2 linked regions of the Macaca fascicularis genome follow. The protein of the gene in region 1 interacts with the protein of each later gene in a biochemical or structural test. Links are inferred from orthologs where the notes say so. Each region holds a gene or a part of one and is shown in the gene's direction. Other genes may lie near its edges.

What was found.
Region 2: the proteins of GNAQ (region 1) and PLCB1 form a complex in vitro, tested with the Homo sapiens proteins (2 studies listed by BioGRID, with this or other methods). The link is inferred for Macaca fascicularis from reciprocal best matches to the Homo sapiens genes GNAQ and PLCB1.

Annotation. Positions count from the first base shown.
Region 1 is NC_088389.1:108,365,012-108,368,651, reverse strand, and holds part of GNAQ (guanine nucleotide-binding protein G(q) subunit alpha), read left to right. Parts: intron 1-939; coding exon 940-1,130; 3' UTR 1,131-3,640.
Region 2 is NC_088384.1:79,171,729-79,175,645, reverse strand, and holds the start of PLCB1 (1-phosphatidylinositol 4,5-bisphosphate phosphodiesterase beta-1), read left to right. Parts: upstream 1-995; 5' UTR 996-1,382; coding exon 1,383-1,481; intron 1,482-3,917.

The DNA of each region.
Region 1 (3,640 bases):
CTCCTTCCTAAATCAATGTGAGAAAATACAGGCCGAGTGCAGTGGCTGACACCTGTAATCCCAGCACTTTGGGAGGCCAAGGCGGGTGCATCACCTGAGATTAGGAGTTTGAGAACAGCCTGGCCAACATGGCAAAACCTTGTCTCTACTAAAAATACAAAAATTTAGCTAAGCATGATGGCAGGCACCTGTAATCCCAGCTGCTCAGCAGACTGAGGCAAGAGAATCGCTTGAACCTGGGAGGCAGAGGTTGCAGTGAGCCGAGATCTCATCGCTGCACTCTTGCCTGGGCAACATGGTGAGACTGTATCTCAAAAAAAGATAAACCAATTGTTTTATCATCACAAATGAACTGAATGCTACACAAATGTAGTGTGCTCATAAATACCAGAAATCTATGGAAGTGAGACTACCGAGGCCCACTGTAGACAGAGCTGACCTTACAAACAGGTGTTTTATTCTAAGAGGGATTGTCAGTCTGGAAGATGTAAAATGATCCATAATGTTGAGTCGTTTGGAGGACAGATTGACAGGAGAGCCCAAGGAGGCTGTGTCTTTGTGCACACTTATTAAATAGCTGAAACAAGCATAATTAACTCAGTTGAACAGAAGTAAGCTATCACTCCCCTGATGAAGAGCCTACAGTGGCTCCCAGTCACTCAGGGAATCAGAGTGAAGGCCAAGCTAAGAAATAGACTTAACCTTGGCCTTCAAGTCATCTGTCTGCTTTCACCTATACACAGTTTGTGAATGGGTGGGTACGTGGGTGGGTGGGTGGATGGTCAGACATAGTAGTGTTAGGGAAAATGATTATAACAGATCAAATCTGCAGTGCAGATGTAGGCTTCATGAGCAATGACACAGTATTTATTGAACGAATGATAATTGAGTACATTAGCAGATTAGGTAACAGTGTCCCTCTTGTCTCTTGGCCAAAAGGACCCCAGAGAGATGCCCAGGCAGCCCGAGAATTCATTCTGAAGATGTTCGTGGACCTGAACCCAGACAGTGACAAAATTATCTACTCCCACTTCACATGCGCGACAGACACCGAGAACATCCGCTTTGTCTTTGCTGCCGTCAAGGACACCATCCTCCAGTTGAACCTGAAGGAGTACAATCTGGTCTAATTGTGCCTCCTAGACACCCGCCCTGCCCTTCCCTGGTGGGCTATTGAAGATACACAAGAGGGACTGTATTTCTGTGGAAAACAATTTGCATAATACTAATTTATTGCCGTCCTGGACTCTGTGTGAGCGTGTCCACAGAGTTTGTAGTAAATATTATGATTTTATTTAAACTATTCAGAGGAAAAACAGAGGATGCTGAAGTACAGTCCCAGCACATTTCCTCTCTATCTTTTTTTTAGGCAAAACCTTGTGACTCAATGTATTTTAAATTCTCAGTCATGCACTCACAAAGATAAGACTTGTTTCTTTTCTCTCTTTCTCTCTTTTTCTTTTCTATGGAGCAAAACAAAGCTGATTTCCTTTTTTTTTCCCCCCCTAATTTATACTTCCCTCCTGATTTTTTTCCCAAGATACAATGACCTTTATCCTAGTTCCATTCTTGGTCAAGTTTTTCTCTCAAATGATACAGTCAGGACACATCGTTCGATTTAAGCCATCATCAGCTTAATTTAAGTTTGTAGTTTTTGCTGAAGGATTACATGTATTAATACTATGGTTTTAAATGTGTTGCTCTGTATACATACATAGTTTCTTTTTTAATAGAATGTACTGTCTTGTCTCACTTTGGACTGGGACAATGGATGCCCGTCTAACAGTAAGTGTCATTTCTTTTAGATGTTTACCTTCAGCCATAGCTTGATTGCTCAGAGAAATGTGCAGAAGGCAGGATCAAAGACACACAGGAGTCCTTTCTTTTGAAATGCTACGTGCCATTGTCTTTCCTCCCTTCTTTGCTTCTTTTTCTTTTTTTCACCCTCTCTTTCAATTGCAGATGCCAAAAAAGATGCCAACAGACACTACATTACCCTAATGGCTGCTACCCAGAACCTTTTTATAGGTTGTTCTTAATTTTTTTGTTGTTGTTGTTTAAGCTTTTCCTTCCTTTTTTTTCTTAGTGTTTGGGGGCCACAATTTTAAAATGACTTTTATTATGGGAATGTGTTGCCAAAGCTGGCTTTTTTTCAAATAAAATGAATAAGAACTCAAAAAATAAAAGCTGGTATCTTAAAATGTAAGAGAGTAAGACTGTGAAGCCTAAAATGACTGGCTGAGAATGAACCAGAAATGCCAATTGCCAAACAGTTGGTAACTGTAAATTTGATTCTCACGGTCCATTCTTTTATTTGTCCTTAAGATGACATTGTTAGTGTTCACGTCCCATGTTCAGTGTCCAAACCGGCAATGTAAAAAGTATCCTGTGTGGTTTAACAGGAAATCTGTTTATGTCTCTTTATTTGAAACCAGTTTTACTCTCAATGGTTCTTTAAGTTCAATTAAGTCTGCCAGGAACATTGGTTGATAGTATTATTCTGACACCTTTAATTTCCAAAATCTGAAGTTCCTGCTGGTTAACCACCTTCAAGATCTTCTTGAACTGGTAACTGATTAGGTTGAACTTACAGAAGATTTGTGGACTTAACTCAAAAGTAACCTCTCAGTGTTCTATAGAACATGTATTTGTGTAACTGAACCTACTAGGAGAAATGTTTGGAATTCTATATGTGCAATTTTTCAGCAAATGCAAAAAAATACAGCACACGTATTGACGAGCTTCTGTCAAGCAGCTTGAGTTGAAATTTAAGAAAATAAATCACGATTGTTTAAAGCTGCTGGGACGTTAGAATTAGGCCATGAGACTGGTCTCATTTTAACTATAGTGGTATTTGGCACTAGTCTAAACTTCCATATAAATCACTCTTTTGGAACAACAAAGGGGGAGGGAGAAAACTAACGGCCTGTTAGATGAGTACCAAAGCCACCAAACAGTAATGAAATATTCTCATTCTTGATTCTCCCAGCCTCAAACAACACAGGTTACTTTTTTTCCCTTGCTCAGAAAGCACCTGTAATGTAACAAGCAGACTGCCTGTAGGTATAGTGCAATTACAAATGCTCTAATCATTGTACATACATCTCTCTTGATATTGCAGCATCCATACTGGCTTTGTAATCATTAATTTTTTGGCAGATTGAATGTGCTGTATTGATATGTATCTATGTAATTGTATTGTATGTCTATAGCTAATTCACATTTTGAATAATGTTATTTTATTTACTTTTTTAAGAGAGGAGAATGTAAATTTGTCAGTTTATTTCTGACTAGGGATATTTTCTTTCCATTTAGAAAAGAAGAAAAAAAAAAACCTTACTGTCGTACAGAGCGGTACTAGCGTCGTGCTGTATAAAATCATTTGCACATTCCTGAGTAGAGGTATACTGATTATAAGACCCAAAGGTAATTTCATAGCAAAATACATAAAATCAGTCAGAGCTTTTATACAAACATGGAAACCAACTTTGTAGAACTTTTGCCATTTGATCTAGGATTGGAATATGAGCTTTTATACAATTCATATTCTTATTTGGCAAATGCACAGTTTAGTATTACCTCTCTGATGGCCTTTACTAGAAAGGCAGTTTTAGAAGCTATTGTGATCCACTAAGGAAAT
Region 2 (3,917 bases), on another chromosome or scaffold:
GGACTTGCATTTTAATTTCTCTTGCACAAATACCTAGGAGTGGAATTTCTAGGTTGTATGATAAGTAAATATCTTACTTTATTAGAAACTGTTCTCCAAAGTGGCTTTACTATTTTATATTCCCTCCAGCAATGAACGAGAGTTCCAGTTGCTCCACATCCTTTCAAGCATTTGGTATTATCAGTCTTTAAAATTTTATCCATTCTGGTTCCCCTCTTTCCCTTCTTCCCTCCCTCCCGTGCTTGAATTGAGAAATGTTTGTGGAAGGAGTGAAGACAAACATTCCTGGACCTACGTTCCTAAATGAGCAAGTTTCTATTAGTAAGACTCTCCCCGACCCGCTTCACATCCTACATACTCAAGGAGAGGCGCGGGAGAGGGGATCCTCTTTCTTCCTTGGAAAATAAAACCTTTGCTTTCTTTAGGGTGGTCTTTCTATCTCAAAAGCGCAAAGTAACCGTTTGCCCAGGTTTCAAGATCAGCGCGCTGCAAACTCTCAGCCGTGGCGAGGTTTCCTCAAAGAGCCTCTCAGCTGCGCTCGTCTCTGCTGATAAATGATAATTCTTTTCTCAAAAAAGCTGGTTTGTGGCCGGCGCTGGAGTGCTCCAGCTACAGTTGAAAGCTGCGGGTTGCCTCCGGTTCCTCCGAATGGGTCCCTTTTCCCACCCGGTTGGGATCCAAAGACGCTCCGGAACTCGAGCCCAAGTTCCCAAGAAAACCCCAAAGAGCGTAAGGCTCCTGGGGACCCCTAACACCCCTGCAACCAGGGCACCAGGCATGCTCAGAGCGAATGCGGGAGGCAGGCGTTGGCTGCAATGGGGCTCAGGAGCCAGGAGGTGCCGCTGCATCCCCGCTTCCTGGCGCCTGACCCAGCGTGCAAAGTTGGGCTGGGAGCCGCGGGGGGAAGGAAGGACCCAGCGAGCGAGGGTGGCGGGGAAGGGGGTGGGGGGAGGAGGAAGGAGGAGGGAAAAGAGCGCGGAGCGGGGGCGCCGGGCGTGTGTCACTCTCTCTCTCCCTCTGTGTATAGAGGATGTGCTGAATGGTGCGCTTTGAGGCGGCGGCGGCGGAGGAGCAGAATCCGCCGCGACTGGCAGCCTCGGCTGCCCGGCTCGGCTTCTCTTCGCCTTCCGAGGCTCCTCATCCACCGCGGGTTCCCGACCTCGCGTCCCGCCTGGGGCATGGCCCGGCGCTGCGCCCCCGCGCGCTCTGCCTGCTGAGCGGCGCCGGAGGGAGGTGCGGAGGCCGGGAGGCCGGGGAGGCCGGCGGGGGAGAAGAGTCGAGCGCCTCAGGAGCAGAGAAAGGAGCCCGCGCCCCGCGCCCCGCGCGCGGTTCCCAGTCCCTGCCGCGCTCGCCCGGGCCGCCCGGAGCCCAGATGAGCCCAGATGGCCGGGGCTCAACCCGGAGTGCACGCCTTGCAACTCAAGCCCGTGTGCGTGTCCGACAGCCTCAAGAAGGGCATCAAATTCGTCAAGTGGGATGATGTAAGTATTGGGGCGGCCCGAGTCGGGGCGCTGGCTCGGGCACCGGGCAGGGCGGGCGTCGTGGGGGTGGGGCGAGGGGCGCGTTATGCAATGGGCGCACTGGGAGCGGGCAGGGGCCGCCTCGGGCGCACAGGTTGGCATCTGCCAAAGCGGATGTCCAAGGGCAGAAGCTTTGCGCGCGCTCCTGTTTTATCGGGCTTTAGTAGTTGCCATCCTTTCTGGGTCTGGCAAGCGCCCCCTGAGGGTCTTAAATCTTTTGGGCCAGTGGAGAGGGAGGGGCAAGCTTTGCCTGGTGACAGGTCCTGAAAGTTCGCGAAGTAGGGAGTGTGAAGTTGAGACCAACTGGAAAGCGCCTGGTGTGAACAAGTCGCGTCCCTCTCTGCCTGCGGACGCACCCCCTATTACCTCTTTTGCCCGATTTCAAGAAGGAAGGGCCTGAAGTCCACAACACTTAGTGATTGCGAACCCTCTTAGCGCTTTTGTGGGAGCCCACGCGGCGGAGGACACAACGGTCCAGCCAACAGGTGGTCGTTGATGCCAAACTTCAGCGCCTGGCTCCGGAGTGAGGGTCCCTGAAAAGGGCTGCGGGGACACATCTGGGGAGGGCGTGAACAGAATGGGGGCCCTTGAGGGGTCCTGGAGGACTCACGGGCCTGCAGGCAAGTGGAGAGGGCTGACTTTTGAGAACTGAGCTGATTGGAGTCTTCTGCCTGAAATAGACACGTTGAGGGGTTGCCCCAGGACTTACCTGCACCATTTGCCAGGTAGGGCAGAGCCTAGCCCAGCGCCAGGGTCTCTAATGCTTTACGTGCAGCCCAGACCCCAGGACTTCAAATGACTTCCCCTTCCCCTTTACCCCAGTTGTCTTCAAAACACATAAATTAGTCATCCAGCTGAAAACATGCGAATCTTCTGATGGAGAGCATTATGGCATCAATTTTATGTCCTGGGTGTCATTCAAAAGGTTCGATAAGAAAAACCTACCGAAATAAATCCGAGTTGCCAGGTTCTAAGGAAATTTAAGTCCAAATGACTAATACATCTCTTAATCAGAAGGAATTATAGGAGAATGAGGCGTTCTTCTTGCCGAAAAGATTTTCCACCTAGTAAATTATAGCCTGTTATTCTCTAGGGTATTTTTCTTTAATCTTCTTAAGCCATTTTCCAGTGTCTGAAAACAATTTAAATATTCCAGGTAGTGAATCCAATTACTTAGCTGAGTGCGTCTGTGTCTATATTTTGTCCAGCTGGAAGCGCAAATGGAACTTGGAGTATGAACCACAGCTTCCTTGAAAGCTCATGCCAATTATTAAATGCTGTAGGCAAGGATGTAAACATACATCTTTTTTACCATGGGCTTCACACTTTTCTTCTTTCTGTTCCAGTCTAATTGGACTGAATGTTTTTGTAAATGGAATAGAATCTAAACAATAAATTCAGACGCAGATTAAATTCTTTGTGTCAGGGGAAAAAAAAAAAAGACAAAGAAAATGCAGTTCAGCAATAAATAAGACAGTCTTGCCCATTTTGAGATCCTTGAATAGAGAGGTGATGTGATGACGGATTTACTGAGAAAGAGAGTGAAGGGCAGAAGGAAGAGAAAGAGACTTTGCAGAATTTAAAAAGGGAGTTTCAGCATAAGCTCTGGATTTATATACAGTGATGATTCTAAACTGTATTTTAAATAATTCTCTATAATTTCTTGTTTTGGAGAAAATAGCCAACATCACGTTGAGAATGAAAGTATTCTATGAAAACACATTTTGATATATCCAGGTAGATGACTTTCATTATGTACCTTTCTGTAACACGTATTTCTTGCTCACCTATTATTGCCAATCCTAGACTGGATCTTGGGGTGGTGAAAAAGTAGACAAAATCCCTGCTGTTGTGGACCTTACATGCTAGGTGGAGGAGACAAAAATCATCAAAACACCAATGAGAGAGAGATTGGGTGATGCATTGAGGGTAATAGAGAGGATGTTCGTGAAATACCAACCAAAGAAGAAGTTGAAAAGAGCTCCCTCTGAGCATTGCAGCAATGAGTTTCCAAGGAAGCCCTCCTGGAAGGAAAGACGTAGGCACTAAGGAGAAGGCCAGTAGAATCTCAGGTGTTTTTTTTTTTTTTTTTTTAAAACAACAAAACAAAACAAAAAAAACCTAGACTGCACTCAGGAGTCAAGTTATCTGGAATATAATGAGCTATACTGCAGGCTCTTTGGTTCTCTGGGTCTTCATGCTGATCAGTGGACTACAAGGGACCCAGCCTTTCTTAGGGTTGCCTTTTTCCTCCCCAGGCATCCCTCATCTACTCTTCTCAGCTCATATTTGCCCTTACAGAATCAAGCCAGTTCAAGTTATCTGGCTATTTATATTGTACTTTAGTGAGACAGTGTGTTGAAGACAAAAAAGAACTAGATCTTGAATCAAAGGCCT